Linked DNA regions of Oryzias latipes. The protein of the gene in region 1 purifies or fractionates together with the protein of each later gene. This does not show direct contact. Links are inferred from orthologs where the notes say so. Each region holds a gene or a part of one and is shown on either strand. Other genes may lie near its edges. The genes, in order: ybx1, ilf2, chchd2, ncbp1, larp1, csde1 and usp10.

What was found.
Region 2: the proteins of ybx1 (region 1) and ilf2 fractionate together in Homo sapiens (co-fractionation; 4 studies listed by BioGRID and IntAct, with this or other methods). This does not show direct contact. The link is inferred for Oryzias latipes from reciprocal best matches to the Homo sapiens genes YBX1 and ILF2.
Region 3: the proteins of ybx1 (region 1) and chchd2 purify together in Homo sapiens (affinity purification with mass spectrometry; 3 studies listed by BioGRID and IntAct, with this or other methods). This does not show direct contact. The link is inferred for Oryzias latipes from reciprocal best matches to the Homo sapiens genes YBX1 and CHCHD2.
Region 4: the proteins of ybx1 (region 1) and ncbp1 purify together in Homo sapiens (co-immunoprecipitation; 3 studies listed by BioGRID and IntAct, with this or other methods). This does not show direct contact. The link is inferred for Oryzias latipes from reciprocal best matches to the Homo sapiens genes YBX1 and NCBP1.
Region 5: the proteins of ybx1 (region 1) and larp1 purify together in Homo sapiens (co-immunoprecipitation; 3 studies listed by BioGRID and IntAct, with this or other methods). This does not show direct contact. The link is inferred for Oryzias latipes from reciprocal best matches to the Homo sapiens genes YBX1 and LARP1.
Region 6: the proteins of ybx1 (region 1) and csde1 purify together in Homo sapiens (co-immunoprecipitation; 3 studies listed by BioGRID and IntAct, with this or other methods). This does not show direct contact. The link is inferred for Oryzias latipes from reciprocal best matches to the Homo sapiens genes YBX1 and CSDE1.
Region 7: the proteins of ybx1 (region 1) and usp10 purify together in Homo sapiens (co-immunoprecipitation; 3 studies listed by BioGRID and IntAct, with this or other methods). This does not show direct contact. The link is inferred for Oryzias latipes from reciprocal best matches to the Homo sapiens genes YBX1 and USP10.

What each region holds. Positions count from the first base shown.
Region 1 is NC_019865.2:7,798,025-7,802,607, forward strand, and holds the start of ybx1 (nuclease-sensitive element-binding protein 1), read left to right. Parts: upstream 1-1,678; 5' UTR 1,679-1,814; coding exon 1,815-1,926; intron 1,927-3,468; coding exon 3,469-3,532; intron 3,533-3,758; coding exon 3,759-3,792; intron 3,793-3,881; coding exon 3,882-3,971; intron 3,972-4,040; coding exon 4,041-4,322; intron 4,323-4,583. UniProt on the Homo sapiens protein: DNA- and RNA-binding protein involved in various processes, such as translational repression, RNA stabilization, mRNA splicing, DNA repair and transcription regulation.
Region 2 is NC_019869.2:21,697,383-21,701,707, forward strand, and holds the start of ilf2 (interleukin enhancer-binding factor 2), read right to left. Parts: upstream 2,908-4,325; 5' UTR 2,779-2,907; coding exon 2,774-2,778; intron 2,420-2,773; coding exon 2,360-2,419; intron 1,502-2,359; coding exon 1,459-1,501; intron 1,381-1,458; coding exon 1,276-1,380; intron 1,185-1,275; coding exon 1,107-1,184; intron 862-1,106; coding exon 759-861; intron 531-758; coding exon 465-530; intron 1-464. UniProt on the Homo sapiens protein: Chromatin-interacting protein that forms a stable heterodimer with interleukin enhancer-binding factor 3/ILF3 and plays a role in several biological processes including transcription, innate immunity or cell growth.
Region 3 is NC_019871.2:16,549,947-16,554,411, forward strand, and holds chchd2 (coiled-coil-helix-coiled-coil-helix domain-containing protein 2), read left to right. Parts: upstream 1-1,528; 5' UTR 1,529-1,675; coding exon 1,676-1,725; intron 1,726-2,431; coding exon 2,432-2,690; intron 2,691-3,169; coding exon 3,170-3,338; intron 3,339-3,651; coding exon 3,652-3,659; 3' UTR 3,660-4,027; downstream 4,028-4,465. UniProt on the Homo sapiens protein: Transcription factor. Binds to the oxygen responsive element of COX4I2 and activates its transcription under hypoxia conditions (4% oxygen), as well as normoxia conditions (20% oxygen).
Region 4 is NC_019868.2:27,750,945-27,755,329, forward strand, and holds the start of ncbp1 (nuclear cap-binding protein subunit 1), read left to right. Parts: upstream 1-1,299; coding exon 1,300-1,333; intron 1,334-2,726; coding exon 2,727-2,815; intron 2,816-2,901; coding exon 2,902-3,002; intron 3,003-3,075; coding exon 3,076-3,232; intron 3,233-3,316; coding exon 3,317-3,424; intron 3,425-3,782; coding exon 3,783-3,904; intron 3,905-3,995; coding exon 3,996-4,065; intron 4,066-4,385. Other genes in the region: tstd2 (thiosulfate sulfurtransferase/rhodanese-like domain-containing protein 2), read right to left, coding at 784-1,059. UniProt on the Homo sapiens protein: Component of the cap-binding complex (CBC), which binds cotranscriptionally to the 5'-cap of pre-mRNAs and is involved in various processes such as pre-mRNA splicing, translation regulation, nonsense-mediated mRNA decay, RNA-mediated gene silencing (RNAi) by microRNAs (miRNAs) and mRNA export.
Region 5 is NC_019872.2:3,472,833-3,476,647, reverse strand, and holds part of larp1 (la-related protein 1), read right to left. Parts: coding exon 3,777-3,815; intron 3,701-3,776; coding exon 3,540-3,700; intron 3,372-3,539; coding exon 3,273-3,371; intron 2,902-3,272; coding exon 2,575-2,901; intron 2,002-2,574; coding exon 1,878-2,001; intron 1,011-1,877; coding exon 814-1,010; intron 726-813; coding exon 619-725; intron 1-618. UniProt on the Homo sapiens protein: RNA-binding protein that regulates the translation of specific target mRNA species downstream of the mTORC1 complex, in function of growth signals and nutrient availability.
Region 6 is NC_019865.2:1,564,256-1,568,070, reverse strand, and holds part of csde1 (cold shock domain-containing protein E1), read left to right. Parts: intron 1-878; coding exon 879-991; intron 992-1,071; coding exon 1,072-1,191; intron 1,192-1,279; coding exon 1,280-1,458; intron 1,459-1,536; coding exon 1,537-1,700; intron 1,701-1,784; coding exon 1,785-1,917; intron 1,918-2,646; coding exon 2,647-2,694; 3' UTR 2,695-3,815. UniProt on the Homo sapiens protein: RNA-binding protein involved in translationally coupled mRNA turnover.
Region 7 is NC_019861.2:21,049,163-21,052,977, reverse strand, and holds part of usp10 (ubiquitin carboxyl-terminal hydrolase 10), read left to right. Parts: intron 1-3,042; coding exon 3,043-3,111; intron 3,112-3,356; coding exon 3,357-3,402; intron 3,403-3,815. UniProt on the Homo sapiens protein: Hydrolase that can remove conjugated ubiquitin from target proteins such as p53/TP53, RPS2/us5, RPS3/us3, RPS10/eS10, BECN1, SNX3 and CFTR.

The DNA.
Region 1 (4,583 bases):
TTTGCTTAACTCGGTGGCCTTGTGGAAGAGTGTCTGTCCTGAGACAGAAGTCAAGAGTTCAAATCATAACAAAGTCTCCAAAAAAGGGACACAACATTTGACACTCAGCATTAAGAGGTTGGATTGGGGGGTTCAGCAATCAATGGTGGCCGTGTGTGCAGCTCATTGCTCCCCCAGGTGATGGGTCACATGCAGTGAAGCAGTACAATACCAGGTTATAACAACTAAAAAAATATGTGAAAGGAATACACACCCTACATACAAAACGTCCGATCTGAAAAAAATCTCTTTTTTTCAAGAAACACGGAGATTGTTTCAAATATTCCAGTCAGTGCTGGAATATTTTCTATATTTCTATTTAATATTTCTCAAAAAAGGGCAGGATTGTCTTGAAAGTTCACTTTAAATATGGAGTTATTCTTGTTCTCACCATTTAAGGCAGGCATGTCCAAAGTCTGGCCGGTCCAAGGTGGGTTCAGAAACCTGTCAAAGGTTTCTTTCTAGATCTCTACAAAGTCTGGCCAAATGCAGCCCTCCTGAAAGCCTCTTCTAGCCTGCTGGTACCTTTTATAAAAATAAATGTGCTCCCAGGAAACTGTGTATGATTTCTTGATTATGATTGCCTACTTTATAAACCATTTTAAACCTATGGCAACACTATGATGTGACCCTTTTGCAATACCTTTTAGCTCATTTCTAAAATGTCGACTGTAAATTTAACAAATGTTGACAATTGGGGGTCGCTGCTTTCAGGACAAGTAGAAATTTGTGTATTTTTTTCAGTAAGATACTAAACATGCAAGAGGCTGGATGTTTTCAAGAAATTCAATATCAAGAGGGACTACAAGACAAGACATCCCAACTATGCCAAGCTAACTAGGAAAGAATGGTGCATGGTTTTCACATGTGAAATTCACTGTCATTTTGTTAAAGATTTATTAAGCTCTTCTTTTGTTCTATGTGTAGAAAATACAATTAATATGCAATAAGCATTTCCCTTAAACAGTTCATGTGCATTTAATGTTATAAGGGTTCAAAGAATGCAGGTTGAATGGTTGGTCCTCACAAATGTTCACCTCACAAAATCTAATTCTCTTTGCAAAAAGTCAAATCTAAAAATTTGCAGATTGGATCTTTTGTATTTTGGTTATCAAGTTTGGTTTTTGATGTTTAATCATCACTATTTACAGGTAACAACCATTCATTTTAAAAGTAAAAATAAAAAAGCAATATTGTGGATGTTTTTTTAAATTTACAATATATTCTGATTCTTTTGTGGGAGTCAAACTTTTTGAAATTTTACATAAATTGTTAGCCTCCAGCAATATTTAAAAGTAGGCTAATATTTCCTAATAATGCCATAAAAATGTTGTTTAACTACGGTTTTAAAAGGGGTTTACGTGGATCAACACTAGCTTTATGCGTCTTTTTTTTTAGTTTTATGCATCTGACACATGATTACAATGGGGCGGTGAAAACTGACAGGTACGGTACCTTTAACCAACCGTTCGTGAAAACGCGTCGCTTCAACTAGACTGACAGTAGTCTAGCCAATCAGAGGACGCCTTTTTTCTGTGACGCATTCAGTCAATAATTCCAGCCAGTGAAAAGCTCGAATGGGCGGGGCCACAACCAAGAACATTCCCCAACACAACTACTGATTCTGCCCAGTTCGATCGGCAACGGGAGCGGAAAGAGGAAAGCTGAGAGCCCGAAGGCAGTAGCCCCCACCACCGCCGGCCCACGTTACCATCTAGCACCGGGAAAAATAGCAGAGAGCCGCCGCCGGCAGAAGCCATTACCAACCAGTAACTATGAGCAGCGAGGCCGAGACACAACAACAACCACCGCAGCCTGCTGCCGATGATGCGGAAAGCCCATCCAGCCCGGCAGCTGCAGCTTCCGCGGGGGATAAGAAGGTCATCGGTAAGACTGCCGACTCCACTTAGCTAACTAGATGCTAAACGTGGTTTATGTTGCTGTAAACGAGACAGAAACAGCCGTTGAATTATGTTAATGTAAAATGACCGTTACGATCAACTTTATTAAGTAGTTGGACGTTAAACCGTACGTCGAATTGTGATACCAACTGTCAATATAATTATACATTTTAAAAACTGTCAGTTGGGAACGGTTATTCATTAATAGCGTATCATTCTCATTAACTATGAGATGTCACAAGTTTAGGAAAAATCCACATCTTAGAAATGTAGTAAATAACCACTTAATCCATGATTTTCTGTCTTGGTGGGAAAACATTTGCGAAAAAGAGACGCATGCATCCAAACGGCCGTCACATGGATGATCGTAGGAGTAATTTATGTCAGATCCAGCATGTTTACTACCAGACGTTGCAGACCTTTATCTCTCACCGTTAACCGCCAAAAGTACGAACAAAACCCGAAAAAATGACGAATAAATGTTTTAAACTTGGAAATACCCTGCGTTAGTTCACACTAACAAGTTCACCGGCAACTGACGCTAGCTGCTTACTATCCCTTTGTTCGCACAAGTGTCGAATCCCTGTATTCTCTGTCAAAGCTTAAAGGTGGTTGTTTTCAAGTTTATTTTGTAACTATTAGATATATTCAATAATAAACGCTTTGGGATTTGTATTCAAACCGTCCTAAGCTTTAACTCGATTTTTTTTTTACATTTTCGGTGAGGCCTAATTATTTCACGATAGCTTTCCAGTTGCTAACGATGCTAATGTTAGCCTAGCCAGCTAGCTGGCTGGCTATTTACATGGCTGAAAAGGCCACCCAAAATGTCCGCCGTTACACGATCCGTTTATACGTTACAGTTCTATTCTAGCTCGGTTTAGGTACTAAAAGCGCTTGCTTAAGTAGTTTCGAAGTAACATCTGTAAGATGTTGATGGGTTTATTACGTTGGTTTCCGCTTTTTGGCTATACTCCAACCACATGGTTGTAACTCTTAGCTACACGGCTAAGCTAAGAAGCCAACTCGGCTTGTTTTTCGGTCTGTCCGTGTGCGACCCTACCACGTGTGAACGCTCACGTCGTGAACTGGGCGTCTTAAAATGGGGCAGTAGGTCTTTAATGTCCGAGTTCTCTAAATGCAGTTGCTAAACGCGAGGTTACTTGTTTTGAAGTTTGACGTGTCGTAAGCTCTGTTCCCCGTGTTATCCGCATTCCTTCCACACATTTGCAGTCAATGTAATTGGACTGTTTTCTACCATGGCCGGAGCTTCACACCGGGAGCAGCTGGCGCCAGGCTCTCCTAAGCATCAGCATCTATAATAAGCACGACAGTTGGAAGTTATTTTTAACGTCCACACTATGGCTAGTTTTTTCCTGCACATATCTTATTATGTGCGATGCTTTGACTGTTCCCAATCTATTATCATATTTTCAAAATTTCATTACTGCTATTCTAAAATTACCTTTGCAGCTTAGAGAAGTAATATTGACACTTGATAACTGAGTTGCTCTGTTTTTCATTGCAGCAACAAAAGTCTTGGGTACAGTCAAGTGGTTCAACGTCAGGAATGGATATGGTTTCATCAATAGGTAAATGACCACCTCCAGCGTTCCCAATCCTATTATGATTATTGCTTTGCTAACGTGGCTGACCTGATTATTTTTTCTAGTGGTCTGCATGCACACTGTAACCTGCAAGACTTCATTAATCCTTGCACTTGTTGGCTTAGTTGCAATCTGTCTTCAGAGGTGTGTTGTCTTAGTAAGTCATGTGTGGTATAACTGAATCTTTTTATTTTTTTCTCTTTTTGTTCAGGAATGACACAAAAGAGGATGTTTTTGTACACCAGGTGACCTATTATTTTCCAAACCTTTTGGAAACTTAAAACATTTTTTTTTTATTTCGACTAATTCACTTTTCAATTGTTGATGATTTCAGACAGCCATAAAGAAGAACAACCCAAGGAAGTATCTTCGCAGTGTTGGGGACGGAGAGACTGTGGAGTTTGATGTAGTTGAGGGAGAGAAGGTAATGTTTTGGGAAGAATTTGGTTATGTTTGCAGGCATGTTGTCAATTTTAAACTTATCTGTTAACAGGGTGCAGAGGCAGCAAATGTCACTGGCCCTGGAGGGGTGGCTGTCCAGGGAAGCAAATACGCTGCTGACAGGAACCGCTACAGGCGTTACCCACGCAGAAGGGGGCCCCCTCGTGGAGGAGAATACCCAGAGAACTACCCAAGTGATGGAGAAGGCGAGCCTGGCAACGGAGTGCGTGACAAAGGAAACAGAGACGGGGGAGAAAGCGCCCCTGAGGGAGAATCGCAGCCACAGCAGCGCAGACCCACTTACCCCAGCAGACGACGCTACCCACCATACTTTGTACGTAGACATTATGGTCGTGGACCCCCGTACACCAATGCACCACGCGGAGAAATGACTGTGGTACGCGGTCACCAGGCTGCTATCCAGAAGTAGGCAACCAGTTGTACCATGACAGTCGAGACACTTGCTCTTCTCCCAACATGCTCCTTGGTAAAGCTCACGTGGTTGTGGTCAAAGTTTGGTGTATCGGGGGTCACGCTATTGTCCGATGGACTTAAATTGGCCGTCTCTTCTTAAAAAAGTGTTCGTGTTGCTTCA
Region 2 (4,325 bases), on another chromosome or scaffold:
CAGAAAAACAACAGTTTTAGTCACCCACAGTTAAACACAGTTAACAGAAAAGAACAACACAAATCAGCACAGGGTTGGGGTATTGAGCATCTGTAAGCTAGCAGGATAGCGTGTGGACAAAAGTGACGATAGGAAATAAGCGGAGGTTTACTTCCGCGCCCCACCCACAAGTTAGAGGCGAGTTTCAGATGAACTATTGCCGCTCTGCAGAAAATGTCCTAGAAAACAGCAGGTTTTTAGAATTTTGGCTAAAAATTCTATAACCATAATTAAAAGACCACTGGGAACGATTTTACAATAGATCAAAAGATGATTGATGTAGGACTTAAATTATTTTTTATGCTTTAAAAAAAGTTCCTGCAAATCTTACAATAGCTTTAATAAATTTTCAGAAGCAATTTTTAGGGTAAACTTGTAAATCACGTTGATGCTTTAACTCATTGAAGGAGATCTCTGTGATTTACCTTCAGTAGGGTCCTGGGTGCGGAGAGTTTCCACAACCTTGTTGCCAAGAGCAGCAACAGCCTCCACTAAAAAGAACAAAATTATATTTGGACATAAAGACACAATTTTTCACAACCATTAAATGTGACTAAAAAACATCATTCAAGTTTGAAAAAAAATATTTAAGGAGAAATTCAGATTCGGTGCTGATGCACTGGGATGTTTGATGCATCAACAACATATATGAACCATTCTCATACAGTCGATCAGACAAAAGAATCTGACAACATCCGGATGAGAAACTCATGACCTACATGTTGGGAGGATCTTCAGGATGACTACAAGGTCTGCAACATTGTGCCCAGTAGTCATGGTTCCCTTCTTATAGGAACCCACCTGACGGACTTCTTCAATTTGCTGTCAAGAGGCACAAAAAAAACAATTATTCATTGTTGTGGGTCATGGATTGTGACAGAAGGCTGTGATTGAATTAAAGATACTTCAATCAGTCTGGTTTTGCCTAAAATAAAAATGTACCGGCAGTATCCCTCATATTTCACCTCATTGTTAAAAATGTATCTACATGTTCATTGAAGCTGCTTTAGTCTGTGGACCAAAGGTTCTTCAAATGGGACCAAAGGTTCTTTAGTGGAGCAACTCACCACTTCAAAGTTTCCAGGAGCAACAATAAGGTTGTCAATGACGTTGTTGATCTTTGTGACCAACGACAAGATAGAGGACTATTATAAAAAAAAAAAAAAAGGGAACAAAATGTGTTAGAAGCACATATGATGATGATGATGAAAGTTCCTGGGCGAGTCCGAGTCAGACCTGCTCTGCTGGCGTGGGGCTCAGGTCCTGGTTTCTCTTCAGGAGACACTCGCTGAAGGTCGTCTCATCAGAAGCAGGCTTCACTCTGGGGAAGGCCATCTCGCACTGGTGGAAGAAAGGAGTGAAAGTCAAGACTCACACTTATTCTGCATCGATATTCCAGCTATGTTCACTTGTTCTCACCACGTAGAAGTCAAACGGGATGTGTGGGACAAACGGGCGGTACCTGCATAAAAAATGATTAAATTAAGCATACGTTCATATGTAAACATTTATATCCCAAGATTTAAAGTGCATAAAGTGGAGATTTTAACTACTCACTTTAAGCTCAAACCTTCTCACTGTTACATCAGACACATGCTATATGGCAAAAGTAGCCACTCATTTGACTTTACACGCATGATCATAAGTTATAATCCATTTGTACTCCACATCATCTTCATCCATGTCTTTATGGGCCTGCTTCTAGCAGTGGTGCACAGTCATGGTGCTACCAGGAAGCAACATTTCTAAATTTTTAAATCTCTTGGTGTCCTACAGCATTCAGACTTCCTTTCACTTGAACTGGAAGGGGTGAGAACAGCTTCTGACAACTGGAATTCACTGATCTCCTGGGATGGCAACATCCCTTAAGATGTTTGCAGAAGAACTCATTTTATGCGTCTGTGGCCATGGAAATGACTGGAATGCCACAATTTAATTATTTGAATAAGTGATTTAATACTTTAGGCAATACTTTCGTAACATGGGCAACACTGCTGTTGGTTTTTCAAAGTTACAGGTCGGGGGGGGGGGGGCATCTTTAGTCATCAATCTATTTAGAATATTAGATTTTTTTTTATCCTGAGTGTTCTTAGGTTACAACAATCCTAGCATCATGGTCCTCTACTCCAGCTAGCCCCGTTCATCTTGATTCTGATCCTCAAGAATTAGGTGTCCAGTTTCTGACAGACTAGAGACATATAAGTAATCAGCAAGCTGGCTCAGAGGGTTGTTGAAAGGAAAATGTAGGGGGCAGAAAAGCTTGCCAACACGAACCGATCAGACTTTGTTTTCTGAAAATGTTTGGGAAACAGACACTAACCCCTGGACCAGGCCTCCGCGGGCTCCGAAGCGCCCTCCCCGGCCTCTTCCGCGGTCTCCTCTGCACAGAAAGGGAACAGATGATAAAACAAAAATGATTAGGCCACATAGTGACATACACACATAATCTGATGGGAGCTAGTGGTCTGCACGAAGAATGATTATTGACATTAATTCACACAAATAAGTATATAAATAGCCTAAAAACAAAACTGTGTACGAAAACGCGTGAATTTATTCACAGAATTGGCTCCTAAACTAAAAAAAAAAAGAGTTGAAACACATGAGGGAAACGCTGCTTAACTTACAGGTTATTATGCTAACGCGGCTACAGGCTGGACACAAATCAAAATACAACAACAAGAGCAGCGTGTTCAACCACCGACGCCAATAAAATGAATAAATATATGCTTACCTCATCGTGTAAGACGTTTTGATTCCGAAAATATAAAACAAACGAGAAGAATTAAGATTTGCAGCTGCTGCAATGAAGGCGCAGAACCGGACATAGACTGGGGCAGCGCTAGTGAAACTTCCGGTGAGGAAAGGCTCACAGCACACTGCTGCCCCTACAGACCAGGAGTTAAAAGTGCAACCTCTTTTATTTATATAGCTTTTTTATTGAACATTTTCAGAATATAATATAAAAATGCAACATTTACAACAGTACAATATTTTTTAATTTGCCCTAAAATAAGCGATGTGACATTTCACTATAACAACGATTCACATATTTTGTGGTTGCTGATCCGATTCACTTTCGATATTGGTTCATTTTGAATGATCCAATTTGATCTGATTAACTGACTAACCTAAAGTTGATCCAGGACATCTTTGGGCAAACCTTCAACCAGTGTGGCTTAAGACATAAATACTGAACAGTGCAGGGGAAGTTTTCATCAAAATCACATCAAAATAATACAAACAGAACATTATTAGAACATTCTAGCACACTGTTTGGTCACATGTCTGTGTTTTGTTTCCACACATTGGATCATATTGACGGACTGATCTTTTTTTATTTTAACTTGACCAACAGCTGAGCTAGCAGATCAGAACTGAAGATCTCTTGTTGGACAGATTTTACTGTTACAATAGGGGTTTATGGATCTTCAGACAAACAACAAACAGAGTGTAGATTTGTATAAAACCCCTTTTTTGTATTTGAGGCTATAAGCATTATTTATGATAATTATTTTTGTATGCGATCTATGTTGAATCAGACGGAAGAAAACAAGAAAGAAAGAAAGAAATAGAGTGGGATGTTGGAGACAGGGGATGAGGGGTTAGATAATACAAGGTCAAAACATACGAGTGTCATAAGTAAATTGCATGACTTAGTTCACACATCAACAAATTCTCTGCACATCTATTTACAGATTGGAAGTATATTCCTACATTCATGATGGAAGATTTATCCCACAAGACTTTCGCACACAGACAGGTCCACACAATATTTGTATCACCAATATTCTTGAAGAGGGGTGTAGAAACAATGCTGGATCATTTTTTGCTGACATCATGTGTGTTGTCCGCTGTGATTGCACTTGGTCATTTTTACAATATAGTAACACAAACTAACCAATCAAAATGTGATTTTCAAATATTAATAATCAATTTCTTTCATTTTTAAATGACTTTATAGTATAGATTGATTTGATTCGATAAACAACTTGCCTCAGATAGATCAATCTGGTTGGATCGTACGAATAAAAATTAATTCATCGAGTCGTTTAATTGTTACACCCCTACTTAAAATGAAATAAAATGAACAGGTCTGCACTTGTGTCCTCCTCTGGAGTTTTGTTAGCAATAAGAAACATGAAAAGACTATTGAATGCATTTCTTGTGAGGTTTAAGTAATGTTACTAGTTCTGGAAAGAAAACAGGGAAATAATTATTTCTTCTACGTAAATGTGGTTTCTTTTTGTACGTTTAACAAACAAACCTTAAACAAAATAAAAATA
Region 3 (4,465 bases), on another chromosome or scaffold:
TCTCATCCTCTACTACCTTCTGAGGTGTTTCCCATTTTGACCTTGGGGTTTCCAGTTCCTATTCTGCACACATGTTCCTGTATATTATTCCAGCCACTTGATTGTGGCGCTCCATGTATGCTTTACCTGCCAGCATCTTACACCCTGCAGTTATGTGCTGGATTGTTTCAGGCGCCTCTTTGCACAGCCTACACCTTGGCTGTATATGTGGGTGTGTGGATAGATAGATATAGTCATGTGCTCAGTGAATGTCTCAGACAATGGAGAGCTGAGGATGCAGTGCTGGAGGACAGATCCTCATGGGAGGACAAACCCCTGCATGGGATGTACCACCGGACCATAACTGAAGTGGCGGATATCAAGAAGTCTTACTAATGGCTAGAAAGGGCTGGCCTACAGGACAGCACTGAAGCACTCATCTTAGCAGCTCAGGAACAAGCCCTGAGCACCAGAGCGATAGAGGCTCAGATCTACCACACCAGACAAGACCCAAGGTGTAGGCTGTGCAAAGAAGCGCCTGAAACAATCCAGCACATAACTGCAAGGTGTAAGATGCTGGCAGGTAAAGCATACATGGAGCGACACAACCAAGTGGCTGGAATAATATTCAGGAACATGTGTGCAGAATATGGACTGGAAACCCCAAAGTCAAAATGGGAAACACCTCTGAAGGTGGTAGAGAATGAAAGGGCAAAGATCCTGTAGGACTTCCAGATCCAGACTGATAGGATGGTAATGGCGAACCAACCAGACATTGTAGTGGTGGATAAAGAACAGAGGAAAGCTGTTGTGGTGGATGTGGCAGTGCCAAGTGATGGGAACATCAGGAAGAAGGAACATGAGAAACTGGAGAAATACCAGGGACTCAAAAGAACTGGAAAAAGCCTGGAAAGTGAAGGTGACAATGGTGCCTGTGGTAATTGGAGCACTCGGGGCAGTAATACCTGGAAAGACCTCAGACCTCTCAGTCCAGAAAAGCGCAGTGCTAGGAACAGCTAAGATACTGCGCAGGACCCTCAAGCTCCCATATAGATAGATAGATAGATAGATAGATAGATAGATAGATAGATAGATAGATAGATAGATAGATAGATAGATAGATAGATAGATAGATAGATAGATAGATAGATAGATAGATAGATAGATAGATAGATAGATAGATAGATAGATAAAAACAATGTGTAGAGAATAAATTTACCTAACATAAAAAAGAAATACGGTAAAAATAAACGAAATAAGAAATAGGGAAAAAAAATAACTTTAATTACTACAGTCTTGGAAAGCGTTTTAAAAAAATTGTTTTTTAAAAGTAGACTATTTAACAAACGTTATTATACATGCGAAGCATCAGAAGAGCAAAGACGGGGATAGTAAAACAAATACAAAAAAATAAAATAAAAAGACAGTAGGCGAGGAATTAAATTGTTATTACAGAGCACATTTGAGCGAATGACAACACAATGAAAATAGGGGAAAGTTCAGTGTATCGTCTCAAAATAAAGTTACACAAGCGTTTCAGCTGCACCGGAAGTTAGCCGGCAGACAGATGATGTAACACATAGAAAGTTCCGGATGAACCAAAGGTCGACATAAAACTCGCAAGCGACGTTGCGGCTCCAGATTATCGCGTCAGTTTTTCATCAAACGCACAGCTGTCCAACCTTAATATTTAGGTATGCCAAGAGGAAGCAGAAGCCGGACATCTAGGATGCCCGCCCCGGCCAGGTAACGATTTCTATTTAATAACTGGGATGAAAGGTGGTTAGATAGTGTGCTGCGTGGGATAGCGCAGGCTAAAATGTGCTAATAGTGTTTCAGTGTCAAATGTCTGTGGGAGCCTGCCAACAGAGTTGAGGATTATTTTAACACATTTAGTATCCTAAAATGCCCAAATCTGGAGATAAAAACGTCTATTTATGTTCAGACAGGATTGTTGAGGCAGGCCAAGAGTTTCTGACAAATGTAGTAAAGGTCAAAGTGTCAAACCTATGTATTTTAAAATTCAATTTTATAGAATGGTATAACAATACGTCATTAATGTTCATCTAAACTCATTGAAAGGTTGAGATGCTTTGCATTCATCCAAAAAATGAACTTTAATAATGTTCACAGTGTGAAAGTATCTCTATAATATAACACGTTTTAGTGACAGTTTACTACAAAACTTGGGAAGATTTTTCTTACGTAATTGGCTTCTTTAACCTTCAGTTACATAACTGTCCTGACAAAACCTCATCATGACCTCCAAAACCCACAACATCAACTCTGACACACAATTTTAGTGAGAAATGATCTCTCATTAGACCTAAGCGTAGACCTGAACAAGAGTGATCATGTCAACAACAATAACTCAAAAAATATTACTGTCCTGTAATTTTTAGGTACGGAACATGCCAACTTTGATATTTAAACTAAGGTTTACGCTTTACAGCCGGGCGCCACCATCCCCACCACCCATGGCCAGAGCAGCACCTCCTCCTTCCCACGCCCCTGTCCCAATGCAGGCTCCTCCATCCGCTGTGGGAGCACCGGCTGCTGCACCCAGGCAGCCGGGTATGTTTGCGCAGATGGCTACTACAGCAGCTGGGGTGGCAGTGGGCTCCGCGGTGGGACACACTATTGGCCACGCGTTGACTGGTGGGTTCGGTGGAGGACAGTCAGAACCAGCCAAGCCCGACATCACGTACCAGGTAAAAGGAAGAGCATCTGCCAAAGGACCAGAATAGTATCGGTAAAGATTAGGTTGTCTAACTCCTGGCAATGCCAGCCGTTCAGAGCTCAGCTCTAACAGGAAAAAAGGCAGTCAAATTTACAATTAAAATGTTGCTAAATCAGTTGGAATTTTAATTCATAAAATACAGTTTTGATCTGATTACATTGATTATTTACATGGTGTTATTGTCAAATTGAGACTAACTAAAGCCAAAGTATATATAACTTGGTTTTTTCTTTTTAGGTTTCATCATTTTATCATGTCAAAGATAAACTGAGCCTTTAAAGTAAACATTTTCTTTACATTAGCTCATAAAATACTTCTATATTTAATAGAAGCTGTTGTTGTATTTTTAACTGAATTTCATTTTAAAACATGTTTTACTCTAACTTGTTTTGAAAACAAATGCCCCTTTTTTCAAAATTATTGTCTCTAATCTTTCATTCTGTTTGTCAGGAGCAACATCAGCAGCAGCCACAGTCTTTCTACCAGCAAGAACAGCAGCAGCAGCAGCAGGTTTGCTCCTATGAGCTCAAACAGTTCATTGAGTGTGCACAGAACCAGAGCGACCTGAAGCTCTGTGAGGGATTCGGTGAAGTACTGAAACAATGCAGGTTTGCAAACGGTAAGCAAATGTGGAAATACATTTTGTAATAAATAAAAAAAAAGTAGATATGTACTAAGGGGTTGTTATATTTTTCATCCTCCTGTGTGTTCGATGTTTTGTAGTCTGGTTTTTCCTTTTTTATTTTTATTTTATGTAAGCTAAGCATGGGAAGACTTTCTGTTTTTTCAAAGATTTATTAGGTCCAAATTCTTTGTTGGAATTTGTCAGGGGTGATGGGAGTTGTAGTTTAAACCCGTTTTACTTATGTGATGCTGCACATTTAAAATGATAAAAATAAATGCATCTTAATGAAGTGTTTTCTTCTCCACAGGACTATGATGAGGTGAAGACAAAGCGCTGCAGAGAAGAGGAAGTCACAAATGTTATCAAAGTTTTAGCAGGGTATAATTATTAAGGGATCAATCAACAAAACAAGCTCATTATTTAACATTTGAGTTTCAAGCATCATTTGTGAAGACCGCTGCAGAGCTTAGAAAAATGTTTATATACTTTAGTGTTGTCATTTCCTCAGTTTGTAATTATGATGGGAGCTTGTGTTTCATTAGCATCCATGCTTTTAGTTTCTTCTCTGATACTTCAGACTCTGCAACATGAACCTGTAAGAACAAAAAGTTTGCATTTTCTGGATGAGCATTGCTCAAGGTTTGATTGTACCAGTAAAAAAATAAAGTTAAATCTAAACCTGATTTATTTCCTTGCCTCTTCAATCACACGTTGTGTTTCTTATTTTGGCCTGCTAGTTCTTTAAATAGAAACTAGGAGCTGTTACAACTCAGCGGTCCAGCAACTGTTGTGTCACTCCAGAACGGTGCACGTGCAGTAACCTGTCTCTGAATGCTAAAGGTGAGAAAAGGGACCGTCTTCTCACAGCATGGATCCCAGTTTTTGTTATGTTGATTCGCCTAGGCTGCCTGAGAAGCAGCCGTGTATTTTTGGCGTGTGACATTAAAGCTCGTCTTATACGACGTGGAAGCGGCCACCCCACACACGCGTGCAGCAGCAGTCGGAGCGGACCGGACTGGTTTTAATCTCTGCAGAGCGATCACACTAAGGATGAAAAGGATTTTTTAACACGGACAAGAACGGTGAGTGTTTTCAGGTGTTGCTTCGCTGGAAATGGAAAA
Region 4 (4,385 bases), on another chromosome or scaffold:
TCATCATCATTGAGGTTCACGTCAATATTTACGTAATGAGCCAAATTTTGGCCTGTCAATACTCTGATCAAGCCTGAAATATATTACATATCTATAAATGATTTAAGCATTGATTTACATCTATTTGGTCCGGTAAACGGTAATAATCTGTTTATGACAAAAACAGGGAAGAATTTTATATGTCTAAAGTGACAATTTAAAAGAAGCAACAAATTTTTTTTTATGTATTTGTTTGTTTGTGACATCAAACACTAAAAAAAAGCCTCTCTGCAAATTTACCAGTTGGCCAAAAGCCCCCCCCCCTCTATTTGTTGTCCCAGGACAGAAGGTAAATGTGCCTCACTAAATATAAAGTAATCATTTAATGAACGCCTGGTGAAAGGTGAGTTTTCAACTGTAAAATGGTCAAATATGTTTTTAACTACAGGATCTATTTCTAAATTGTTGTGCCTTTTTTATGTTGTTTGTTTTGGTGTAAAGCACTTTGTGTTATCATGTTCTAGAATTATATAAATTTTACATAAATAAAGATTGATTAGATTTGATACACAGAAAAACAAAAACAAATACCAAAGATATTCTCTAACTTTCATGTCTTGAATACCTTAGGTAGTAATAATATTACTACCTAGTAGTAATAATATTACTAATATATAAAAGATGCAAACTGCCCAGAATTGGGTCAGAATCAATATTTAGTTTAGATTAGTTTAGTCATTTTTTATTCTGTTTTCAATCATTCTGCGTTGTCTTTGTGGAAAGAGAAGCCAGATATTCTCCTACCTTTCTCCTGCAGAACCTGTAATATTTTCTGTGAGCAGCAGAAATGTGTTTGTTTTGCTTAATTGATCCATGATCAACCATCGACGTGTTGACCTCCCAGTTCAGAAACTCTGAGCAGACTGCTTCACTGGCTGCCATTCTCCTCAACTGGCAAATTAAATGCACGACAAATATGTTTGTGATCGTAAAAAACGCAACTTTGTGATAGAACGCGTAAATACTGACAAAAAGAGAGATATAAGTTCTCAAACGCGGTAAATACCCTTGTATTTCCATGCGAGTGTGCAGCTCACCGGAAGTGGAAGTTCAGCTTCCGGTTGTACCTTGAATGACCCGGATGTCCATCATTTCAATCGCTCCGCTGTTATTTCTCTGTAAGAAGCTGCTGTTGCTGCTGCTGCCGCCTCCGGACTCTGCCGTTCAAAATAAGCAAAGCTTTTCCCGGATCCACCGGTCTGTCCCGCGTTATTTTTTTTACACCGGGTGTCTGCACGCGTGCAGCTCAGGGGGGACAACATGTCCAGGAGGAGACACAGCGACGACAGTGACGGCAAGTCGCGCGCTGCATGTGCGATTCAAACGTTACGGCTAACGCGGCAGCTAGCTACAGCTACCTTGATTATCTGTATGTGCTATAACTTTAAAGGAATGCAACGATAGCAGGCGTTGCCCCAATATCAAGTATTTTTTTAAAGCTACTAAATAAATTAGGGGATTTTAAAAAATGATTTTTAAGAGATTAAGTTTTACCAGAAAAACCCGGTTCCGTTAGTTAGCTACTTTAGCTAACGCTAACGGCCAGATTTATGTTTTATAACGGTTTCTGGCACACAAAACACATTTAATGTTTGTAAAGACTGGCGTAAGTGTTGAAAGAGACACTTTTTCTGTGGGTTCATCATCATGCGCATGGAAACGTGATGTTACAGCCCTGTGGATTTTGTGATTTATAAAGGAACATTCACAACCAAAGTGTCTCACGGTTCCACACTAAAAAAATATCAGACCTAACAATATTTTTATATAATGTAGGATTAGTTTAGTATGTATTTGTCATTGTATGTATAAATGACTTCTATTGGCTTCCATTGAGTGTTTACCTTTCATTCAGAGATTTCAGTAAGGAGAGAATCAGCAAGGCAAGTTTATTTCTTAAGCACATTTTATGTACAAAGGCAATTCAAGGTCCTTTACATAAAACACTAAAAGAAAAATTTAACAGAAATATTAAAGGAGTTATCACCAAAATAAAAATTTAAAGAACTGAAGTAAATACCAACCTGCATTTAAATAAACTGAGTGTTTCAGCTGATCCAAGGCTTAATTCTGGTAGTCTGTTCCAGATCTACAGAGCATAGAAGCTGAATGCAGCTTCTTCGTGTTTGATTTCGACTCTAGGTACTGACGAAAGAGCAGATCCAGATTACCGGACAGGTCAGAACTGGACTGATGTGGTCTAATATTTGGCTCCTTTGAAGGACCCGAGCAGCAGAGTTCTGAATACGCTGCCGTATCGTCCAGCAAAAACACTGGAACAGTAGTCAAGTCGACTAAAGATCGACTTAACACATAAACAAGTTTGGCCAAGTCCTGCTTAGACATCAGATCTTTATTTTAACCAGATGAAATTATCTCAAAGCGATGTTAAAAAGATGGGTTTTGTGCTTCTTCTGAAAAATCTCTACGGTCTCTGAGGCTCTCCGGCAGGCTGACGTCCAACTGTTTGTCTTTAGCCCTAGACACAATATTCTCCATTTTTCTTCTGTTTACCTAAAGTATATAGGAGGAAACCTCCAGTAAAGTCAGATGGAGTATGTGTGACTGTCGAAACACTAGATTTTATGAGACGAATACACTATTTTCCCCCCAAAACGTAGATTTGTTTTTCTGTCTTCAGTGTCCTCTCAGGTCAGAGGTTTAAGTTCTGTCCTTTTCATTTTTAGGAGGTCAAGCCCACAAAAGGAGGAGAACATCAGAGCCTATTGAGATTGAAGACCGCCTGGAGTCGCTGATATGTCGCGTTGGAGAAAAAGTACGATGGCCGTTTTGTCATAAAGCCATATATTTACTATTTAAATAATTTGCAATAACTAAAGTCCGTCTTTGATCTTTTAAAAGAGTACATCGTCCCTCGAGAGCAACCTGGAGGGGCTCGCAGGGGTTTTGGAGGCGGACCTTCCAAACTACAAAAACAAAATCCTGCGTATTTTATGTGCAGTGTAAGTTGTCCGCAGTTCTCCTCATTCTCAAGCGTAACAAACGGTCCGTTTTCACAAACGCGTCTTTCGACAGAGCCCGCCTCCTGCCGGAGAAGCTGACAGTCTACACGACGTTAGTCGGCCTCCTGAACGCCAGGAACTACAACTTTGGGGGAGAGTTTGTGGAGGCCATGATCCGGCAGCTGAAGGAGACGCTGAAAAACAACTTCTACAACGAAGCCGTTTACTTGGTCTGTTGATGTTCAATGTCTAAACTCGCAGCTGCTGCAGCGCCTTTTGCTCTCGGCATCGTTTAAGTTCTCTGCTCTCTTCAGGTGCGCTTTCTGTCAGACTTGGTCAACTGTCACGTGATCGCTGCCCCTTCCATGGTAGCCATGTTTGAAAACTTCATCAGTGTTACTCAGGAAGAAGATGTGCCACAGGTTTGTTTCTGCACGGCCTCACCTGGAATATTTGTTTGCATCAGAAGTTTCAGTTTATGAACATCCCGTTCTTTTTTTACTTAATGTCACATTTAAGGCGCCTCCTTTTGTTTTACTGCAACGTCTGAGTTTCCCCATTTCAAATTCAGCAAACTCCTTTATTTTTGTATCATCTGATGTTCTCAATGACGACTCAAAATTCCATGACTTGGTTTTGGGAGAACTGCAGTCCAATCAAAAATAAAAATGATTGTTTTCTGTGTAAAAATAGTTTTAGATTTATACAAAAACGATTTTTCAGCTTCTCAATTTGACTTGAAGATGAAGATCAGTAAGCGTGAGACCCTTTTGGCTCCAGGTTCGGTTGGACTGGTTCGTGTACGTGGTTCTGTCCTGCCTGCCGTGGGTCGGCAAGGAACTTTATGAGAAGAAGGACGTGGAGATGGACCGACTCCTGAGCCAGATCGAAGGCTACCTCAAGTGAGACGCGGCCTCTTTTCTGGAGCATCTTTTGCTTTCCATTGAAGCTGTTGTTGGACTGACTCCAGCGCTCTGCTGTGTTCCTGGACAGGAGGAGGGTGAAGACTCACGTCCCCATGCTGCAGGTGTGGACCGCTGAGAAACCACATCCACAGGAAGAGGTGAGCCTTTTGGACAAGCAGGTTTTGAAACGCAAGTCTAAAAAGATGCATTAGAAGGATCGAAGGGGGAAAAAAATCCAGATTGCTTTGAAGAATTTTAAAGAGAAACGACTCCTGTGAGGAGAAACGCTGGAACGTCGGCATAGGAAAACTAGAAGAGGAGAATGGGCCACACTGCCCCCCCCCCCCAGTGAAATTGTTGGGTCTGCTGATAACACATGCAAGGAAAAAAAGGATCAAACTAAATGTCATAATTCATAAAAGAAGTATTTAACATTTCAAGTCACTAAAAGGAGGGTGAAAATCAGCCAAATGAGTTT
Region 5 (3,815 bases), on another chromosome or scaffold:
CAGTAAACACGATCCAACATGATCATCCTAAGCTCCCCAAACTCTTTCTTATCCCTTGAGCTGTCTTGTGGGGTCCAGATGACCCCACTCCCCACAAGACAGCTCAAGGGTTATCCGTCTGACACGGTTTTGAATACGTCTGTTGATGCTCTACCTCTGTACAACACAAGCCCACATCATCATGCCTCCACCACCGTGCTCAACCACTGAGATGAGAGGTGGACTCTTCATCCAGAATGACGAAACACCAAGCTTCCCATGATGCATTTCTTCAACGATCCATTTCCTTCTACAGAGCTTTGGTCCGTTTTCAACACAACATTCTACACAAAAACCACCACATGTTGAGTGTCCTGACCAAGTCATGTGACTGGAATAACCAGGAATAGAATCCTTTGTGAACACACCGTTCCCTCATTTAGTCTGTTTTAAGGCTGTAGAAGCCGCCGCTACACGCTTGACGGGCTCTTCTCAGACAGAAAAACGTTTTCACAATTTTCTCTCTTGTTTAAACCTTTATAGAAAAATAAGTCCAGCATAATTGAACGAAAAAAAAGATCTGCTGGTGGATAGAAAGACTCAGCAGTCCCATACCATGATGCTTCCTCTGCAACTCACCTGACAGAGGCGGTGCGGGACCGGTGCTCTCTGGAGTCCATCACCCAGCCCACGTGGCACTCCATGGGGGGGTTGGAGCTGTGCCTGGTCTTCCTCTTCCTGGGAGTCTGGAAGAGGAAGACTCTGAAGCGTGAGTGAAGGAGTTCCCCTCGGGAAACCTCCTCACATCAACCCCACCTGCCCCCGCCGTCTCACCTTGGCGTCGACAGGCCGGCTCTCCTTCACCACCGGGTAGAAGCGAGGCGTCATGGTGGGGTCCTTACGATGCGGCGTGCGAGGAGTCCGCGGCGTCCGGTAGTTTGGCGAGTCAGGCACGGTTGTGGGTAGCGAGCGGGCCATTGAGGAGGGTTCAGGGGCGCCGAAAAGTTTGTTTGCCAAAGCATCTGTGGGGACTGAAACACGACGAGACGCTAAAGAAGTGAGCTTTAAACTGCAGAGAGAAGAACGACACGCCGCCGATGAGGAGGAGCACTCTGATAAATGTGACCCCATTTCAAAAACTACTCTTTAATCATTTTGAAAGCTGAAGTAGAGTAAATGACAGCTTTAATTTTTGTTCCTGGGAATCAGAAAGTGAAACTATGAACTTTATTTGTGTCATTTAAGCGTTTATGTCAATGAATGACTGAAAAACAAGAGGCTGCACACCGTCAAAGTCCCACTCCAGTCATGATTTGATCTATTTTCAAAGCGTTCCCAGTGGTTTTATAATTATGATTAACCTGTTTTTAGCCAAAATTAAATACGCAAAGACGTTTTCTAGGACATAGTTTCTGCAGAGCAACAGATTCAAGCGGAGACGAGAAAAAACAAAGACTTACATTGGTTTACAAGTGGAAGCATCAGAATTTAAGCTTCAGGGAGAACACTTCCTTACCCATAAAGACATAACATTTAGATTAAATAAAGACATTAACATTTGTCCTCCATCATCGGAAAGATGCCATCAGAACATGTTAAAACTACAAAAACATGATTAGTTTTGAGTTCGACTTGAATCTGTTTTTAGAAAATGCAATATTTACATAATAATATATTAACAAAGTTAGTAGTTTCAGGTTTCTGTGTCGAAATCTTGTCACTTTTTTTTGATTTTTTTCTAACTGCTTTGCACCTCAATCTGTTTTTAAAAAAAGATTAAAAACCTAAATTTCTCCTAAATAAAAAAAAAAGGAGAAACTATTGTCCTGGTCAAAACAGATTTTAGTTTAAAGCTTTTAGTAAAACATAATCTGCTGATTTTGTCTGGGTTTGCTTACTCTGCTGGGGGCGCGGGGGTCCGGGGGGGACTTCCTGGTTGGGGTCGACGGGGGGTTCTGGGGTCAGGCAGTCGAACTGCTCCCGGCTGATCAGGTGGACCTTCTTGAAGTTCTCCACCTCTTGCTGGAAGCAAAGAAAAGACAGAAACCCGCAGCGTGAGTAGAGGGAGCGGAGGAAGCGACCGGCAGCGGCGGAAGGGGAATCTCCGTCGGCGGACCTCATCCGCAGAAGTTTGGAGACAGACAGGCAGCAGCAGAACATGGCGGCCTTAAAGAAGCGTTTCACCCTCATATCGCCACAAACAGCAGCTCCACACAAACCCGTCTGTCCTGAGAGCAGCAGCTCCACTCACACTCATACTCGGCCTCTCTTTCCAGAGACTCTCCAGGGATCGGTCCGCGGCCATCTTTGCCTCCCCCCTGGCACCCCGCCGTTTGGGGTCTATTTATAAACGAGCGGCGTGTGTTCCACAGGCTGCTGGATGTGTGTTGGCGAGCGCGTGAAGGTCCCACACAGAGCCCAACAATGCAACAATGGGCGGCAGCGGCAACAAAAAAGCGGACAAAAAGGCAGCTTCTGTGCTCTGCTTTGGGTCCGGATCCAGAAAAAGCTGCAACTGAAGGAGAGCCACCGCTGGAAGGCCTCCATGCATGACTCTGCTCTTTTTCCCTTTTCACCACCATAAAGCCGCCTCACCTTGATGGTGGCGTACTCCGGCTCATAGGGGGCGTCCCACAGGTCCTGCTCGTAGTAGAAGAGCCCGTCGTTGATGACCTTGACCAGCTCGTTGGTCAGCTTGGCGCGCGACGTGTGGTGTCCGGTGCGGTCGCCGCCTGGGTGCTTCCGCAGGTAGGGCGGCGTCTGCGTGACGATCAGGATCTTGTTGACGTCCTGGTCATCCAGCTCGCCGTCCGTCTCTTCGTCTGACCAGTCGGTGAAGGTGTTGCGGCGTCCGTCCATCTGCTCCATCTCTTCGTCGAACATGAAGTCCAGCTCCTCTGGTTCGTCCTGCTCGGCTCCGTCCTGACCCCACAAACAAACACGATACTCAGTTACTTTCATTCATCAACAGACTGTCAGGATTTTCAAACTCTTTGTAAACTATTTTAAAAACTGCTAAAAACTGTCTAACTTCAGGATGAAATCCCAGCTTTAAAACTAAACTCTATAATCAGGTAATTCCATCAAGTCACCACCAGGTGGCTTGTTTCACAAATATAGTTTATTCTGTAATAATGTTTTGAAGCCCTATTTTAAATTTGACCTTTAAAAAACACACGTGTCCACGGAGGGGCGTGGCCTGTTGATGGACATGTGACCATTAAACCTACAGCTCTAAACAGAACCAGAACTGGTCCAAAACCCCTGCAGATCCGTGCAGGTGAGCGGCTCACCTTGTTTCCTGAGGTAGTGCGGGACGGCGAGGAGCCGGGCGGGGGAACCGGGGATCGAACCACTTCGTCTTTTTCCTTCTGCTGCTGCACCGAAGGGGCCTGCTTCCATCACAAAAAGAGGAGGGAGAGGAGATGAAGAGGAATGGTGAGAGCAGATTCTGTCAACACCTGACTGGATGGATGGATGTGGTTTGGTTCTGAGATCAATCTGTGGAGCTGTAGCTTTAACTCTGAGCTCCGTGTGAAGACGTGACGTTCTGAGCTGACCTTGGGTCTGGCGGGAGACGGTCGGGGCCTCTTCTTCACCTCGATCCAGGACTCAGAGTCCAGGTCAGGGAGGCTGGCAGAGAGGCCCTTGGGCATGGATTTGAGGTTGGAGGTGTCTGGGTCAGGCTTGGCCCGCACTGGAGAGGATCCTCTGGAGGAGCCTGCAGCAGAAACCCTCAGGTTAACAGCCGTTGAGGCTCTGGTGGAGCAGGTGCAGGAAGGCGGGAATGGACCGACCTCTCGGATCCCCAGTCATCTGCCTCGGGATGAACTCGG
Region 6 (3,815 bases), about 6.2 Mb from region 1:
TCTGGAAAACAAGGCTAACAGTTCATTAAAACGTGTTTCTTTGGGGAGAAAACAGCAACCAATGAAACAGAAGAAGAGTCTCTGACTTCAGGGAAAAGACATCTGCTATTGACGGACCAGAACCAGAATCTTTTTCCTTTTGATTTGGATTTATTGCCACACCCTTTTCAGAGTACCGAGACGCTCCGCATAAAATGCAGCAACTGACTCTCTAATGTTACACGTATGCTAATAAGTTTCATTCACTGTTGAATATTGTATTTAGAAAAATGTAATGTTTTATGTCACCTTTATTTATTAAAAGGTGACAACTTAGACATTTAAGGGGAAAGCTAAATTGCCTTTTAATGGTTCTTGCATATAGTTTGGGTTTAAATTGGCTGCAAATCTTTTACAGAGAAAGAAGATTAAATAAAATAAAGTTGCTGATTTGTGGAAACTTGTCAAAACTAAAGACTAACACTTGTGAGGAAACTTAAGCACAGAAAATACTCCCTTTGTTTTGAAAAGAAATGTTTAATCAAACAGCATTTATCAAACAAAACAAATGATTCATTTTTGCCATGAAAAATAAGTTTTTGGTGTGGAAATAGCTTTCTTTAAAACAACTGTCTGTCTTTTTAATGAAGTCTTACAAATCAGAAACAACTTTCAGTGAATCTCCATCATCTATAAGACGTCTACAGACTTTGCTCTATAAGCAAAGTGTCACATAGAAGCGCTATAATTTGAAAAATCGATTTTCCGGAAGCGCATAATAAATTAAAGATCCACTTTGGCTTGTGGCCTGAAAAGGCTGAGGGCCGCTGCTCTGTAGGACTAAATCGGTGAACGCCACCTGCAAAGATCTTTTACACCCAGATGTGTTTAATCCTCAGTGAAATGTGTGGAGATCTGGATAATCTGGATCTGGGCGACACTGTGGAGTACAGTCTGTCAAAGGGAAAAGGAAACAAAGTCAGTGCTGAAAAGGTCACCAAAGTGGCTGCAGGTACCTGAAGGTTTCATTCATTCATAACATCCATTTAAAAGGTTCTGATCACTCAATGAAAGTTCTCTCTTATTTTTTAGTGAACGGGACGGGCGAGGATGTTGGGACAACAATTCTGACAGGAAAAGTGATCCGTCCCATCCGCAGCGTGGACCCCTCCCAGGCCGAATATCAAGGCCTCATCGAAGTCATAGATGACGGTCGGTGTTGCTAGAGCAGCTTCTGTCATTCCAACTTCCTCCTTTTCACTCTTTTTATTATTTTTTGTTTTTATTTTGTTTTGCCCAGCTGGAGGAAAAGGACCGTCTTACCCCTTTGGAATTATGGGAATGGCAAACAAGGGAGACTGTTTGCAGAAGGGAGAATTTGTAAAGTTCCAGGTTTGCACGGTTTCCCAAACTGGCCAGAAGATGGCGTGTAATGTGGTTCCCCAGCGCCGGGCTGTGGTGGAGTGTGTCAAGGACCAGGTATGCTTGATTTCTCTGGCTAAGCCGTTGCCGCCGGCGCCGCAGGTTTAAGCCGTGGGCTCGTTTCCCCTCCTGCAGTTTGGATTCATTACGTACGAGGTGGGCGACAGCAAAAAGCTGTTCTTCCACGTCAAAGAGGTGCTGGACGGCCTGGAGCTCCAGACGGGCGACGAGGTGGAGTTCTCCGTGGTTCTGAACCAACGCACGGGAAAGTGCAGCGCGTGCAACGTGCGCCGAGTCAGGTGAGGGCGGGAATGACCACCGGGGTTACAGCTGGGGTTTCCAGCTCGTCTTGTACAACTTTCCTCACGCCCGTTCTTTTTTAGCGAGGGGGCTAAGCCGGTGGCGACGCCGCGTCCAGACCGCCTGGTGAACCGGCTGAAGAGCATCACTCTTGATGACGCCAGCGCTCCTCGTCTGGTCATCCTGAGACAGCCTCGTGGTCCGGACAGTTCAAAGGTAAGCGACCTCTGACGCTGCGTTCCCGTCGCGCGGCGGAGGCGTCCAGTTTCTCGTTTCCTGCGTCACGTTGGGCGTCAGCTGTGGAGGAATTCTCCAGTCACGGCGTGTTTTTGGGGCATGTTTCCAGATTTCAAATACCTTAACTTTGGTGAATTATTCAAATCACATCAACCAATCAGGAACTCGGCTTTGGCCTGTGACGCGTTGATGATGCGATTAGTGGGTGGAGTCTAAAAACAACACAGAGGAGAATCTGATCGTTCTCCTGAATATATTTTTATTTTTTCCCCTCCTCCACTGACGCGGGACGACTCGTCAAACTGGGACAGAGGTGGAAGTAGCGCTGAACGGGTCTGGTACGCAGACGGTGAAGCTCACCGTACCGGCAGAGTCCCTGAACGATGCCATGAACCCGAACATGGAGGCGGGATTTTCGATGTTGTTGTAGCGCTCTTTAAAATAAATCAGCTTGGTCAGTAGATCATTGGTACTTAAAGATTCTTAGTTCTGAACCGGTAACACACGGCAGGAGCGGCAGGTCTATGAACAGACTTTTGGACAAATGTTCAGTGGGAGGAGGAATTCGTGTCCGGCTTAGCCGTACCTTGACGCCAGCACTCGTCTGTATTTATGGTCGAGCGATGGACCCAAGAGTTGAGCTTGAAGGTGCAAAGACGCTCAGACATAGCCTCCAGGATCTGACATCTTCTCCCTCTTCTCCCTCAGGGCTTCAGCGTGGAACGCAAAACCCGCCAGCCGGGGGTGATCGACTGAGCGGAGGCTCCCGCTGCGTCTGTGCTTGGCCGCTGTCCTCGCAGGCTCCAGCAGCACAAACTGGAATTTGATTTGATGCTTGCACATCAGCTAACCCACAAACGTGCGCACACATGCAGCCGTTGGCGTGTCCGTTTGGCCATTATGCATCCCTGTGAGGGAACTCGTCTCGCTCCTCCACCGTTCCCTACCTCCCACCCATGATTGAATCGGTAGTACCCCACTGCAGCCTCCGTGGGTTCCTGAGAGTGTGCGTCTGTGTGTGTGTGTGTGTGTCATGTTCCCCAGAGGTTAAGTGTGTGTGGCTGAGGGATTTGTTTCAGTTTGTCTTTTTCCAAATTGGCGTGACGACTGGCTTTCCGTGTCTTGACCTCTCGACCAGGCTCTGTCTGGAATTCTGCACCTGTAATCGGTCCGTGGACCCCCCCACCCCGCTCCATTAATGTCCTTCATGCTGTTTCACTCACGGAAACCTCAAGTATTTGATCAAACTGGAGCTTTCCTACACAATGCGTAGATGGGCGTCGGCTCCGTCGGGACGCCGGGACTCTCCTCTGCTCGCTTTTTTGAGCAGTTTTAAATGCTTGACTGAAGAGCTGAAGTAAAAGCATGGAGTTATGTCTGGGGGGGGTGTCAAAGTAGTTGCTATACTTGATGCTGACGTGCCCCCCTCCCCTCCCCGTCCCTTAGCGGTTTTTTCTCTTTCAGGTGCAGAATTCCTCGTTGCATCTTATATTTGCGATTCTTTTATACTCTTTTTCATTTCTGCACATCTTTTTTTTTTTGTTTTTTTCGGAAACTCAGTCTGCTATATTGAACGTTACAAATAAGGTGCCTATTAATAGCAAAGTTAAATAAAAATCAAAATAAAAGTAAGATGTCTCCTCTGTTCCTAGCACACCACCAACATATTCAGAACAATCTTAAGGTGGCCCCCCCCAGTAGAAATATTGCTATATGCATCCCAGAAATGTGGGTTCATCTATACTGTATGTAATGTGTGCTTTTTTTTTTTGTTTTCTTTCTAATAAAAAGATCAAATATAATAAATTTAATTTAACGGAAAAAAGTAAAAAAAAAAAAGATCAGCTTTTGAAATTAGGATATTAGTTTTTGCTCTA
Region 7 (3,815 bases), on another chromosome or scaffold:
TCTTTGAAAAAGTTCGGATAATGTTCGTTTTCATGAAACGGAGACATACTGCTGAGGCCATGTCTAGGTTGATGTCATGAAATGGTCAGCCAGCACCCACACACCCAGCGCCAGGGATAGTTTTCTTACTTCCGGCTTGGAAAATGAACTGCAAAAACTGGCATTTTATTTAAAGAAAAAAATTATGCTTTGCCAATGGTAATATATTTTCATTTATATGGATATAGATTATTCTGAAAGGTTTAAAAGTATGATATAGGCCTTTAAAAAAATAGTATGTTTGTGTGCTGGAAAACAGCAGGTGTTTTTAAAAAATTGTGAACTAAATATACTTTATTTTCTTTCTCTCTCTCTCTTTTTTTTTACCTAGTGGGAAATATCAAATTCACTTGTTTGGAAGTGTTTGGATGTTAACAAACTCAGATTTTAGTTGCTTAGAGAAAGTGTGTGGCTACCAGATCAGGCAATATCATATAGATTTGTATGTCTGGGAGTATTCCCTTTTATTCTCTACCCAACTTCAGGTAAATTAGTGTTTGGACTAGCAGCAGCTTGTGTAGGATTAACAAAGAAATGTAAACCCAGTCACTTAAAACACTCCAACAGTCTACTTTAACCGGGTCACAAAGTTATTTTTTTAAATTTTTTAAAAACTTTAAGTTCAATCTGTCACAAAGGTGATCATTTTACCCTTTGTCCAGGACCTGGTGATAGTAACTGAGAGCAAGTGTGGCAAAGTGCACATTATTGCAAGACACCTATTGGAGTGGCAAATAACTTTTTAAAACAGCTTTACACTGGGATAAGAAAGACGTTTCTGCAGTCTGTACTTAGTCTGGGTTATTCATAGAAAGTTGTTCTCACAAAACTGAGCAAATATGAAAGAAAGGCTTACTAGTTAAACCTGGTTGTTCCAGGTGCTGTTTCTGTTAGACTTAATGATCACTTTCAAGATTAGATCAAATGGTCTGTAGCATTCTTTTGAATTACTTCTGAAGATATTTTTCCTTAAGTAATTTTGCACTTAATAATTTTTTATTACCAACTTTAATGTAATTTTTGTGTCGTACCAAATGCTTTTTTTTACTAGTATGTTAATTGGTGGGCAAAATGTCTAACAATATAGCTATCAGATATGATAGTTATATCATATATGATGTATATGTGAATTTTTTGCTCATACTGCCAGTATTTTATTCCATTTCCAGCTTTAGTCATTTACTTTTTGGTTAGAGAACACAATTTTTGATTAGCCTCAGATAAAGATGGGTCTCCTTGTTGAAGGTGAAGGAAAAAATATACATATGCAAACAATAAAAGAAGGAAACAAACACAACAGAAAAAGTTAACACAGTGGAGAGTTAAAATTCCCAACTAAGAGATGAAATTGCTCAAAACAGCACTTTGCCCATTTAAAGTCCGCTTACTCACTAAACTTAAAATAACTTGCTGTGTCCTGAAGCGTGGCTAGTGATCTGTATTTATACCAGGTATAAATGGCATAAACATAATTGAGACCACTGGGAACAATTTTAAAATAGAACTAAAGACGATTGAAGGGAGACTTTAAACTGAGAATTGAGGCATCCTTAATACTTAGAGGTTAACATCCGTTTGTCGATTTCAGCTTGTTTTCTGCTTTTTCATCATGTTTCCAAATTTTCAAACCCAAAATCAACTAAGATAAAGACATAGGTCAGATTAAGCTTGTACAACTAATGTATCCATTTTACTCTACTGTTAAATGTATTTGCACTTGCATGTATGTTTGTTTCTAAATAACACGGAAATCATACAGATGGCTAATCTGTTTTAACCCACAGTCCAAACTAACAGTGTAGAAAGCTTAGAGAGGTACGCGTGGCATGCCTACAGAAGAAACCAAGGGACATTCTTTCTGTTGAGCCATCCTGAGGCCGTTGGATTATAGCCGGCCGTTTGTTGATTGTAGTGCCATTTCAGCAATGCATGCCCGAGTGTGGGGCCTCATCTGCAAAGAGTAACATGCTTGGGCTGCACTTTCTTTTCTATGCCTTTCTTTTCACGTTCTACTGTTTATTGCACTGAGAGGATTAACAACACAGCTAGTGAGTTCTTTTTTCATTTTCTCATGCGCTTCCCCCCCATGCACTCATGTTGACACTTCAGTGGCATTGAGCCTAAGTTATGTGGGACATCTGTTAAGAATAATACAACTGATATATTGACAGTTGTTAACTCATCATAATTTTAGCTCTTTTTACAATTACTGCATATGTGTTTGATGCCTCATGTTTTGGCTTTTGCTCATCAAGGACAAACAAAATCACAAGAGATCCTAAAAGTTAAAAGGATTGATTACCTGAAAATGTGATACATTTTTTAGAACTCTGAGGTGCCAACACTAAAAATAGAACAACTTAATTTTACAGTTTACAAATGGTGAAATATTAGTACTCATGAATTTCAGATAGCCTTATTTAAAACTTGATAAGAATTCAAGATGAGACCCTTTTTGCTGTATCCTTGGAACTGATGTTGCAAGAAATCCTTTAGACCCAGATAGAATTGCGCTGTTTAGCATTCACTACCATAGTCCTTCCTGTATGCATTAAAAACACCCATCTCAAATGTTTAATCAGTCACACACCCTGTGAGAGAGAGGAAAAGGAAAGATTTCTTAAACAATCTGCAATGTCTGTATTTAGGGCTATAAGGCAAAAAATACTACTTCTGTCTTGTACCTCTAGTACAGAATCAATTAGTTTTAATTGGAATTTCAGGAATTTTTCAAAAACTAGTAAATAACTATTGATGTGCTTAATTTTCTTTTTAGAAATTTCTCTTTAACATGTTGAAAACTTTTTTTTGCCAACTAAAACCTTTGTTCAGTCCCTTTAATTGGTCGCTCTACCATCTAATATACGGAAAATGCTCATACAATTTTAAAATGACAATTTTTAATGCCGTTTTCCAATCATTTGTCGTTTTATTGAGTTAGGAATATGTGTTTGACACTACTTTTTTTCTTTGACTAATTAATTTCATTTTTCCTTTCTTTAGTACATCTTTGGAGAGTTCAGTCCTGATGAGATCAATCAATTTTTCGTGACTCCTCGATGTTATGTTGAGGTAAGTACAATGACTGACAGTGGCATTCTCGTTGCTTTTGTTGATAAAAAGAAAAAGGCACTCTGGAAGCAACAGGTTTTACAATTAATTTAATTCAGATGAATTGTTTTAGTAATTCTACTTTAAAGCTTTCTCTCTTTGTAACTGTCTTTAATCTCACAAGAAAAAATAAATCATGAAAGCTTTAAAAACAAAACACCTGGTAAAATGTGTCTTAACTTGCTCTAATTTATTAATTTTTACAGCTTCCTCCATTCAATGACAAGCTTCCATGTATCAGTCAGTCTTCTGGTATGTAAATCTTTATTATTGTTTCAACAGTATTTTAGATTGTGGGTGTTAGCCCACCATCAGCCCTAGACAATTGCTTCAAATTACCCAATGATGTCTCAACTGCTGTTCCATTTTACAGCAAATCTTACAAATGCAAGAGCTTAGGTTTTGTTTCCATTTGTTGCTTGATAAATACCTGATGGAAATATACTTCTTTTTGCACAATTTACAAGTTTTTGTTGAATGCTATATATTGTTTAAAATATATCGCAAATGTAAAAAACATATTTTTAGAATAAAAAAAATAGCTCTTTTGTCCTTCTTGTTCAGCCACCATCTTAATCTGGTAGACTAGACCAGAGAAGCCTTTAAGATTTGTGACCATTCCAGGAAATATATCTATTCATATTGGGTTAACAAATGTCTTAACA